3 linked regions of the Ovis aries genome follow. The protein of the gene in region 1 purifies or fractionates together with the protein of each later gene. This does not show direct contact. Links are inferred from orthologs where the notes say so. Each region holds a gene or a part of one and is shown on either strand. Other genes may lie near its edges. The genes, in order: TOX4, PPP1CB and PPP1R10.

Region 1 (4,263 bases):
CTTTATGACTGGGGCTTCCCAGATGGCGCTAGTGTAAAGAACCTGCCTGTCAATGTAGGAGATGCAAGAGAGGTCAGTTTGATCCCTGGATCAGGAAGATCTCCTAGAGAAGGGAATGGCAACTCATTCTAGTATTCTTGCCTGGAGAATCCCATGGACAGAGGAGACAAAAAATCGGACAGGACTGAAGCGACTTAACATGCAAGCATGCATCCTTATGACTAATTTCCCCAGAGTGCTCAAAGTACAATATCATTATTTAAGTGCCAACCTAAACAAGATAAACAGAAAGATTAAACTCCCTTCAGACTACAGAGCTCTCCTAGCTCAAACAATGCTATTATAAATGCTAAGCCTGCCTCTCTGGACACTTCATCTTTAAAAATTATTATTTCTTATTTTATTGAGGTATAAGTAATGTAAAGCACACAAATTTTAAGTATATAGCTCAATGAATTTTTACATACCTTAACACCCAATTATCTACTGCCCAGATAAAGATACAGAACATTTCCATCACTCTAAAAAATCTTCTCATGCTCCTCTCTAGTCAGTACTCCCTCCCTTCCACAGTGGGTACCACTATTCTGATTTCTGTCAGCATAGTTTAGTGCTGTCTATTCTTCATCTTAATTTAAAAATAAACCCATAGAGTGTCTACTCTTTTTTATTTGGCTTCTTTTATCCAATAGTATATTTTTGAGATCACTCAGGTTGCATTAGTAGTTCATTATTTTTTATTGCTGTGTAGTATTCCCTTTAACAAACCTATCAGTTTATAGACATTTGTTTCCACTGTTTAGCTATATAAATCAAGTTTCTGTGGACATACATGTTTTTGTTTAGTATATGCATTCATTTCTCTTATGTATACATCAAGGAGTGGAATTACCAGGTCACAGGATAACTATATTTCATGTGTCGTAGATACTACTAGTTTTCCAAAGAGGCTGAATCGATTTACAGTCTCACCAGCAATGATTAAGAGTTATCTACATGCTTATTAACTCCTGGAATGATCAGTTTTTTAAATTTTCACCATTATGATGGGTATAAAATGGTACCTCATTGTTAATTGGCATTTCCCTGATAAGTAATGATGATACTTTTTCATATGCCTAGTGACAATTTGGATACCCTCTCTTCTGATATGCAAGTTTAAATCTTTTGTCCATTTAAAAAGTGGATTATTTCACTCTGCAGAAGTACCTGAATATACTCTGAATCTAAGCCAGATATATGTAATAAAATATCTTCTCCCAGTCTGTGAAGTGCCTATTTAATTTCTTAATGATGTCTACTGATGAAAAGTTCTTAAATTTTGGAAATTCCCTGTTGCTCTAGTGGTCAGGACTTGGCACTCTCAACTGTTTGGGCCTGGGCTCAGTCCCTGGTTGGGGAACTACAACCTAGAGAGCTGCACAGCATGGCCAAAAAAAAAAAAACAAAAAAAAACCACACAAACCCAAAACACTTTATATTTCAAAGAAGTCGAATTTTTTCAACTTTTTTATGATAAGTTATTTTTGTGGACATTTCTTTTCCTTGCAAGAAACTCTATTAAGGTTTGTTACAGGATAAGTTCATGAATGCATGCCAAGTCGCTTCAGTCGTGTCCAACTCTTTGCCACCCTATGGATAAGTTCATTCAACAGCAATTGAGAATTCTTGATACAAAAAAAGTGATCAAATGGTTTATGCCAAGTTTGAAAACAATTAAAAATTCTCAAAAGACAGAAAGTTCAAAATTTCCGTTTCTCAAAGACTGAATTTATTTTTGTTCCACCCTTTTCTTTTGCCTTGTCTAAACAAATCATACATATTTATGACAACATTTCAATTAAACCTTTTCCAAGAACACTAAAGGACATCACCATGATCATTACTTCCACTTCACAACATCGTAATAAACTATTATTACAATCCTTTGACAGCTAGGGAAACTGACACATAAGGGTGAAGGAACCTACCCAAACTCTGAGGCACTGGCAAACAGAAACGCGTGCTCTACTCAACTCCATGTTTTCTCGCAAATATTCCCTTTCATTCTCTCACTAGCACAACAAGCTAACACTCTGTAAGTAAACATAACCATTAACTTTTCAAAAAATTGCTAGGTAGGAAGTTTCAACGAAACACATACCCCTTCAATAGAGTACGGTTTAAGAATGAACACATTCCACAGTTGACGTGTTAGGTAAACTCCTGCCCCTTCCCAAATTTCTTTGGCTGAAACATTCTCTCCCTCCTGCGATCTCCCATTATTGTACTTGTTTCTCCTCCACGAAAGGAGACAATTTCATTCTATACTCCAATACAGAATCGCTCTAAAATAGGTTCGCTTTTTCCAGAGTCCTGCTTTTCTGATGACAGCAGCTTTCCTGGCCTTCCGCGTAGTCCTCATAGGCTCTGAAGGCAGCTGCCACTTTTCTCCAGATATCGATCTCAGCCTCCGGTTCCCAACCCGGGCCCTGGCGTCCGCGCTCTCCTCCCCATCATCCTACCCCACCGCTGCCTCCCACCCTCTCCGCGCAGCGTCGGCAACTCATGCTCACCTCGGCCCCTGACAGGAAGGGGTGCGAGGGCCCTGTGATCGTCAGGTAATTGTCATTTCCTCCGGGAAACTGGAAACCAAAAGAAAGCCGCGGGGATAAGTTAGGGGAAGCAGAGAGTTAGATCGGAGCGACGTTTTCTGACCCAGACATTATGACAACACCTCCCAAACCCCGCTCTCTCTCCCCTCCCATCTGCCGCTTCCCGCTTCTGCTTCAACCCCGTCAGCCGCGCTCTCTCGCCAGGCTTCTCAACGCTCAGGAGCCTACCTCCATCTTCACACAACGGCTATCACGGTCTCAGTGAACTCATCACTCCCACCGCCCCCACACAGGACACGGAACTGCCGTCACTTCCCCAACGTCGTGCGTCGCTCTCCGCTGATTGGAAGGAGCGCCTTGGGGCTGCTGCGAGTCAGGCCCGGGAAGGCCGAGCGGACTGACAGGCTAGCTATCGCCTCCTGGAGCTTGGTGGGATAATGGCATGTAGGAGTGTTGGAGGCGTCCTCGGAGGTGGTATCTGGGTATTACCGTCGCTCCGACCGAAACGGGATTTCGAGGGAGAGCAATAGAGACGTTAACTGGGCTAGAGGGGCCGGAGGTCGATAGATTGAGCGGCTAGAGAGGCCGGAGGTAAGTGGCTGTAGAAGTCGGGCGGACCCGGAATCCAGAGGAAAAGGGACCATGACTTATGCTTATCTCTTCAAGTACATCATCATCGGAGACACAGGTAACCCGCGGGCGACAATCCTCAAGCTGGGGCGGGGATCCGAAACACCCAAGTCGGGGCTTGGGGGCGGGGCTCATTTAGTGGGCTGGGCGATTAAGTGAAGCGGGGGGCGGGGCGGGCCGCCGGGGGCGGGGCTCGGGGCTCCCCTTCCCCAGTCCTGGACGCCCCGACACTGGTCTGTTCTCGCTGCCTAACTCCTAACGCACGCGTCTTCTTTCAGGTGTGGGGAAGTCATGTCTCCTCCTGCAGTTTACAGACAAGCGATTCCAACCTGTCCACGACCTCACAATAGGTAAGCGCATATACCTCTCGTAGAATAGATTATGAAATCTGACTAAAATAGAAAGTTAGCAGCTTTAGTGTTCGAAGTAGAAAAGTTACGTCTTCCTATTTTGGGGTTAGTCCAAAGTTATGTTAAGTGAAGAATGACTAAATGCTGAGAAATGGGCAGTAGTGTAATGGGGAGTAGGTAATTGAAGGGTGACTAGATTTAGAGATGACCATGAGGTATGGATTAGTTGCCTCAGGATTTTTTTTTTTTTTTTAACAAATGTAGTTTGTATGTTTATGTAAAATCCTATGAAAACGTACTGTTAATTCAAAAACTCGCCTTACTCTGCGGTAAAGTAGTGTGAACCTCATTACTTTTTCAAAGTAATCACTACAGTATAGATTTTGTGTGTGTGTTGGAGAGGAGGAAGCAAATGGAAGAGCCATCCCAGACCTAGAATAAAAGGTACATGAAACTGGTAAGTTTTGTTTTAAAGAAAAGATATGATAATCATGAGTTTCAAGAACTCTCTGGTAAGCGTGGGAAATGTGAACATCTTCCACAAATTTGTGATATGGGACGACCTGCTGAGTTTTAACAACCCATTCCCCATAATCTCCATAACCCCAACCCAAATAAAGATTATATACATAAAACTAGCCTTCTTGCCATGCAGGTGCAGTTTCAGAGTAAAATCCCTAGCTCCCATT
Region 2 (2,751 bases), on another chromosome or scaffold:
TAGTGTCAGCTTTCCAAGGCTTGTCAAAAAAGGATTCTCATGTTATGTGGATCTAAAAACAAAAAACAACAAGAACAAAGAAAAACCCAAAAAAACAAAACCAATGCAGGTGAGGGTGTTACCAGAAAGTTAAGCATGCCAAAAAGGTGTTTCGTGCGAATTAAAACCTAAAGCCAAGGTACCACATAATCACATTACCAACTAGTTGGGTATACTAAATGAGCCTTATCTTAAATGAAATGCTACTGCACAATAGAGCATCAATAAGTTAAAATTAGAGTGCACAAACTCAAATCAGTGGCCATTTCTGTATGAAGCAAAATATTCACTATCAGCTGTAACAGTTGCCCAAACTGATTAAATCACTCGATTGGACAGTTTGCATATTTTAAAAAATATCTCTAAATTCCTTTTTACTGTAATGAGGCATAAGTTTTCTTAGTAAGATCAAACAGGTACATAAGTAAATAAGCAATGGAAAATTAATAGTTGATGAATGTCTTCAAAAATCTTCCCACATTGCACTTTTTTAAATGTTTGGGGAAAAAATTTAAAGAATTTGCCATTATTTCAGCAAAAACAAACAAACAGAAACAAAACAAGCCCAAAATAATTAAACAACCAAGCAACACTAAAACCACATTACACAGATGGATCATCATGCTTTCGTCTGGTTTAACTATCACATCTAGTTTAACTGGGATGCTTTTCAGCTTTAAAAACTGTGGTACGTGAAGATGTAACTTTAATGGGTAATTCTGAATTTGGATTTAACTTTGTTGAATATTATAACAGAGTATACTTATTACAATACAGTGTAGCACATCTTTCTATTAGAAAAAAATTTAAGATCCTTTACCCGTCTCCTTAAGTTAAAGGTGTGACATCATAAAGGGTGTCAAATGGCTGGATGGTTTTACAGTGCACACTTAAAGATTATGAAGTATGTCCTTAACAAATCGGATGGTTTCTTTACAGAGTTCCTTTCTTCACCTTTTCTTCGGTGGATTAGCTGTTCGAGGTGGAGTGACAGGACGTCCTGAATTCAGTCCACCATATTGGTACTTAGCTTTCTTTTCAGACGGTTTCAATATCTTAAAGTAAATAATTTAATAACAATGTTACCTTTTTCAAGTACAATAAGTTTAAGGAAATTATTGTTACATAGTAGGCTTCTCAATAAATGACATCAATTGTAAAATTGTAGGAAAAAATAGCAAAGTTCTACAGTCATTTCTCACATTTAAAAAGTATCAAAAAATAAATAAAAAGTACAAATGTCTGAATATCACTATTATTGGTCATTCCATTGACAATTTAGTGACAAAAGCTCAAGTACACAAAACCCATCAACTATTCAATTCTTAGATCTAAGTATAAAAATTTTCAAACTAGTGTATCTCTGTGATGAGAAAAAAGCACTAAGAGTCAAAAGATCCAGGTTCTCATCATAATTCTCCTATTTATTTAGAGGGTAATTAGTCACAAATTCTTCAATCTTCATTTACTATGTGTATACAGATCTTTCACTTAGCTATATATATTATGTATCATAAAGGTCACCATTTAAACTGTAGAAAGACAACACTTTTTAACATATTTACAACTATGAAACCACTGGTATAATCTAACATTAGAACATGTTTGTCACTCCAGGAAGAAACCTTGTTCCCAAAAGCACTCACTCACTCTATTTCCATTATTGACTGCCCTAACCCCCTTCAACTCTAAGCAATCACTACTTTACTTTCCTCTATTGAACTGTCTTTTCTGGCTATTTTAAATAAATGAAACCAGACAATTTGTGCTATTGTGACTGGCTTCTTTCACTGAGATAATGATTTTGATGTAGCATGTATGAGTACTTTATTACTTTTAATTGCCAAACAATATGCCACATTTTGGATACTCCACATTTTGTTTATTCATTCTTTAGCTGATGAACATTTGGGTTGTTTCTACCTTTGGGTATTATAAATAATGTTCCTATTAATATGTATATATACATGTATTTGAGTACTATTTTCAGTTCTTTCAGGTATATACCTAGGAGTGGAAATGCTGGGTCATATAGAAACTTTATATTTAACTTTTTCAGGAACTGACAAACTATTTTCCAAAGTGGCTGCACCATTTTCCATTCCCACTATCAATATATAAGGTTCCAACTTCTCCACATCCCCAGCAACACTTTGGTTATATCAAAAAAAAAAAAAAAACAAAAAAAAACCAAAAACCAAAAAAAACACACCAACAAAAATACAAACTATTTGTTGAAGGATATGGCCTGGTTACTACATTTAAATCTGAACGAGAAATCAAACATTTAGCATTCAATTGTATTAGCTGATAGTAATGGAAACCTCTGTTACATTTTTTAAGAGAAATACAGGGTGTCAAGGACAAAAAAATAAAGTTATTTTAGTCCATGAACAAGAATGATTAAGTAGCATGCTAAAGCTGGTCTCTTTCTTAAATGTAAATGTTTCTATATTCACAAACAGATACTTTAAGATTATTTGGAAGGTTTTTCTAGGCAAATATTCTACATCATTTTCATCAGAGTTCATAAACTCTACTCAACGCCTGTCCCATCCATTCATCTTGCAAAAGAAAACAAAATCTAAATTCACATTCTTTTAGTAGCAAAGCCACTACCTAAGGATTCATACACCAATTTCCAATTTAAACACATGCCACCAAGAATGACTGACATGACTTAGATTTCCAAAAACTCTAATTATGAGATAT
Region 3 (4,419 bases), on another chromosome or scaffold:
CAAATGTATTTGAAAATACAACTCAAAAACCTGGCACACATAAGGTTTCTGTGCTTCCTGAGATGAACTCAGGGTAATGGAGAAAAAAGGGAGAATGTCTATCTTCTTGGAGTCAAGATGTGTGCTACGAAAAGGATGTAAAGGACAGGTGAGTCTCCCAACTCAACTGAATCCTGAATCACTGAGTTGCCCGGTCTTATAAAAAGTTGATGGTCAACATTCCATATGGCAGAACAAACGTGAGTCCTAACGCTATGTCCCAAGCTACCAAGTCTATAATTAACTCTGTGGTAGCCCCTCTCATCACTCTTCAGTCTCACTTTAGGGAGTGGCAGATGGGCAAGCCCTCCAATATCACGCTGCCCCATCAAGAATCTCCAGGGTGGTGAGTACGTGTGACTGAGGGGAAACCTCCATCCAAAGTAGTTATGCTCCCATGTATGCTTTAGGAAGAAACTGATTTAGTGAGATAAAGAGCCGAGAAACTGGTCCCCTGGTCGTGAGAATGTATTCTGGCTTTATTGAGCGATAGCCGGGCTGGTAGTAGTTAGTGTCCCTCAAAACCCAATGACACCCTTGGGCATCAAAGATTTAGACACCACCATACAGTTAACAGTTGGTTTGTGTTTGGCCAAGGGGTCCACATTCCATCGCCTAAATATCCGGCCGAGATGGAAAGCTGGGAAGAGAATGACATCCAACCCTGGCTCTTTACCCTTGTCTCAAGATTAGAAAACGCGCTGTGCTGAGGAATGAGAGGGGAAGGGGGAGGATGGGGGAAGCAGAGCGTTTCCTTGACAGCCAATGTACAAGCACTTGGGAAGCTCTCCGCTCCAGGATCCCTGGCAGTGGAGCGACGACCTAGAGAAAGTACAACCAAATCTGAGGTTGTACAAAATGTGCCCCAAGGAGTTACCTGAACTCCGTAGGCACCTCTGAAGGGCGAAATGTTAGGAAGGCGCCTCAGCAACACGTTCAATATGGAGGCAGCCATCTTGACGTACCCGCAAAGCAGGCACGTCCGCAAACGAGACTGCGCATGTTCCAGGAACCAGAGTAGGGTGGGGCCAAGGACGACCCCGCAGTGCGGAAGGCGGACGCGCGTCTGCGTCAGGACGGAAGCGTGAGGGGCGGGCGTAGGGAGAGGGCAATTTCAACTGCGTCACAATCGAATTCGGCCTTAAAATTGCGTTTTTGCTGAACCAGTCACTATGACTTTTCACTCTCATTCTTAGAGTCTGTGTTTTAAGCAATTTTGAAGTCGCTTTTGACCCTGATCCTTTCATTGCGCATGCGCCGGGCCGATTCTACCAACCCTTGTTGAGAAATGTTCTCGAGGGCGGAAGTGGTGGAAGCAGAGGAAAGGGAGGTACTAGGCTGCTTGGTCACGCGCACGCGTTAGGGCCCCCACCCCCAACCAAGGAAGGAGGCGGAAGAAGGTGCCCGGGGGAAGGGGCTGAGCGAAGGTTAAGGCCGGATATCCAATCAGCTGGTGAGTGGTTTCCCTGGTTGACCAATGAATTCACGCCTCGCGCAAATTGTCTCGCGAAGGGGGCGTTTCACTAGCACGTTTGGGCGCGTTGGGCGGTGTCCTCGTATAAAAGACTCCGCCCGAGCGGGCAGCCGCCATTCTGGGGTTCGTTTAGAGGTAAGTGTTGCCATTTTGTCGGTTGGTGGGTAAAATTTTGCTCGGAGAGTTGGCCTGGGGAACGGGTCAAACGCGGGCTCAGTTGAGAGCCATGATTCGTATTAAGCGGCTGTATTCGGGGTGGGACATGGAAGTGTTTGGGGACAACAAAAATGGTACTTTTGGGTGTTTTAATAGCAGCCCGTACTGATTACATCTTTCTCCCTTGTGTTCCTTTTATCCCAGGTTTGAATTTTCTCGGAGAAAGACAGGCCGGCCACCAGGAGAAAAGAAACAAGCCGCAGCACAGCAACATCTAAGCCCTTGAAAGGATCCAGAGAGAGGGGGGAAAGGGAAAAGAGCAGCCACCAGCCCAACCACTTGTGTCTTCTGCCCCTTCCCACCTATCTTGCCCACCCCACCAGCCCACGCTGCCTGGGACTTGAAATCTGTGGCCGAAGGACCGTCACCACATAACTTCAAAAATAATCAACCACCCACCCTTCCCAAACTCACCCAAGTCCACTCATCCAGCGTTTACTTTTTTTTAATCCACTCAGAACTTTTTTTCTACGACCCCCCTCCCTAAATGGAGTTGGGTGGGGGGGAAATGAATACTGAGTTGGCCTTTATTTTTTCTAAAGAGATTTTTTGATCCAATGAGGCCCCCCAAATAATTGAGTTTTGGGTCCTGGTTGGTTGTTTTATTTTTTTCTCCAAAATTTTAATCCCCTCCCCCCCTGAGCCCGAGGTGCTGACGTCGCAAAAAAATTGGATAGTAAGTGTCGAATTTTCAAAAACCAGCCTTGCAACAAGAAATCAACGTTTCCCGTTGTGAAACCAAAAATAATGAGAGGAAGAAATGAGACCATAGAACAAATAGAGAACTGGAGAAGGACCGATCCGGTCACTTAATCTCCATTAAAAAGGGCCGTTGGGTCTAAAACAGTGTTCTCTCTCCCTTAACCACCTACCTCTTCCCTGCTCTGCCGCAGGCAAGGAGAGGGTGGAGGGAGGGCCTGCGAGTTAGGATTTTGATGGTTAACCCTTGGTAATCCAGCCAATTTCCAGACTGCCAAAGCTATAAGTGTTTGCTTTTTATAAGGAGGAATGGTTACCTTCCTCTCGTTAGCAGTCTTCAAAAGGGTTAATGAGCTCACATACAAAAGATGGTGGATCTTGTGGCCCAGAAGTCCCACTTCTTTGTGTGTGAGACAAGCAGGGCGCTTTTCAATTTGCCAGATTAATAAGCAATCTGTACATAAAGATTGCAGGGTAAGGAGATGGGCGGAGAGAAGTAATAGTTGGGTATCTTTTAAAATGATTGTTAACTCCTCTCAATTTTAATGTAATATGCTTGGGGTATATTTGTGTGGTTAATTTAGGTGGCAATCTAGGAATAAAGATTGCAAGACACTTAATTCAGGGCAAAATATAATCTTAGTGCCAATACATACTAGATTGATAGCTGGGGAGGTAAAGAATGTTTTGTAATTGTTGCAGATTGCATAGGTTATTTAAAAGAAAAAGTAACATTTTAACTTGATACTTTCTGGTCGGGGGAATACAGTTAGAGGGTGGAAAGGTTGGGGGAATGTGGAATTCAGGAGTATTAATTTTACAAGCCATTTAGTGCAATTGAATGCTATCTAAAAGATTTGTGTCGTTAAAAGGAATTTTTTTTTTCTTCCCTGCTTCAATATGGCGACTTTCTTTGTCCTTTGTCTTCCAAGCGGCGTCGCAGGTTGTGTCTTGACCCATTTTTCTCCTGTCCTCCCACCTCAACCCTATTTGTTGAGAGGGGTCCAAGTCCTCCCCCCCCCCCGTTTCCCTTTATAGGGAAGATGCTGGGGGGGGGGGGCGGTGGGTGGTCGTTAGTAGCAAGTTGAACCTCAATTGCAAATTCAGTTCCTCCCCGCAGAAAATTGTTCTTTTAAATACTTTAATTGCCTGTATTCTCACAAAGCTCTTATTGATTCAAAATAGGTCAGACTATTCAGGATGGACTGCTTTTTTCTTTTTTGTTTTTTACTAAAAAAGTGGTTTTTTTAAATGTAAAGAGCTACCGGCGGAGCCTGGATAGCTTTAAGTTTGAGTCTTCTCCATTACAAAATGGCGTCCCAGCTTCTTTGTTTTTCCTTCCCCGTTTGCCATCTAGAGCTTAGGGCCGCCCTAGAAACTTGGTCAAGGGGGAGGAGCCGCCCTGAAAGGTGATGTAATCAGCTTTCTTCCTCCTTTCTCCACCCTCTCGAAACCCCGCCCCCGAGCAGATGCCTTCTGGATTCCTCATGCACGCTGCTGCTAGACGGGAAAAGCCATTTTCCTTATGTTCCTTAACCTTCTGTAACCATTATCTTAAAAGGAAAAAAAGCTTGTCGCAATTAGATCTTGAAGCTGTCTCCTTGGGCAGCTCTAGTTTTTGTATATAAGGATCCCGAGCCTGTTGCTTTTATTTTCACCCTCTCTCATCACTACTGCTTGGAAGTTTTTCCCTGCTTTAGTTGCCTGGGGTGGAAAACCAAACAGCTGTATTTTAGGACTGGAAGCTTTAGCGGGGGTGTGAGTGTGTGTTGGGGGATCCTGGGGGAAGACACAAAGATGGTGAAACTAACAGGAGTAAACAGCTGGGGCCTGATGACCCTGAAATGTGCCGTTTGTGCTCAGGACTGAGTCCGTCCTTGGGCCTCCTGCGTGTGGTCGATTTGTATAATGGAAATCGGGGGGAGAGTGGGTCCTTCAGGACTGATTTCTAAATGGCCCTTATTCCCGCCTTGGGTCTGGGGGTGAGCTCT

What was found.
Region 2: the proteins of TOX4 (region 1) and PPP1CB purify together in Homo sapiens (affinity purification with mass spectrometry; 5 studies listed by BioGRID and IntAct, with this or other methods). This does not show direct contact. The link is inferred for Ovis aries from reciprocal best matches to the Homo sapiens genes TOX4 and PPP1CB.
Region 3: the proteins of TOX4 (region 1) and PPP1R10 purify together in Homo sapiens (affinity purification with mass spectrometry; 3 studies listed by BioGRID and IntAct, counting the BioPlex papers as one, with this or other methods). This does not show direct contact. The link is inferred for Ovis aries from reciprocal best matches to the Homo sapiens genes TOX4 and PPP1R10.

What each region holds. Positions count from the first base shown.
Region 1 is NC_056060.1:24,038,112-24,042,374, forward strand, and holds the start of TOX4 (TOX high mobility group box family member 4), read right to left. Parts: upstream 2,858-4,263; 5' UTR 2,829-2,857; coding exon 2,823-2,828; intron 2,625-2,822; coding exon 2,556-2,624; intron 1-2,555. Other genes in the region: RAB2B (ras-related protein Rab-2B), read left to right, coding at 3,237-3,282, 3,503-3,574. UniProt on the Homo sapiens protein: Transcription factor that modulates cell fate reprogramming from the somatic state to the pluripotent and neuronal fate. In liver, controls the expression of hormone-regulated gluconeogenic genes such as G6PC1 and PCK1.
Region 2 is NC_056056.1:35,718,958-35,721,708, reverse strand, and holds part of PPP1CB (serine/threonine-protein phosphatase PP1-beta catalytic subunit), read right to left. Parts: intron 1,095-2,751; coding exon 990-1,094; 3' UTR 1-989. UniProt on the Homo sapiens protein: Protein phosphatase that associates with over 200 regulatory proteins to form highly specific holoenzymes which dephosphorylate hundreds of biological targets.
Region 3 is NC_056073.1:27,487,806-27,492,224, forward strand, and holds the start of PPP1R10 (serine/threonine-protein phosphatase 1 regulatory subunit 10), read left to right. Parts: upstream 1-1,597; 5' UTR 1,598-1,648; intron 1,649-1,873; 5' UTR 1,874-2,405; intron 2,406-4,419. Other genes in the region: MRPS18B (small ribosomal subunit protein mS40), read right to left, coding at 917-994.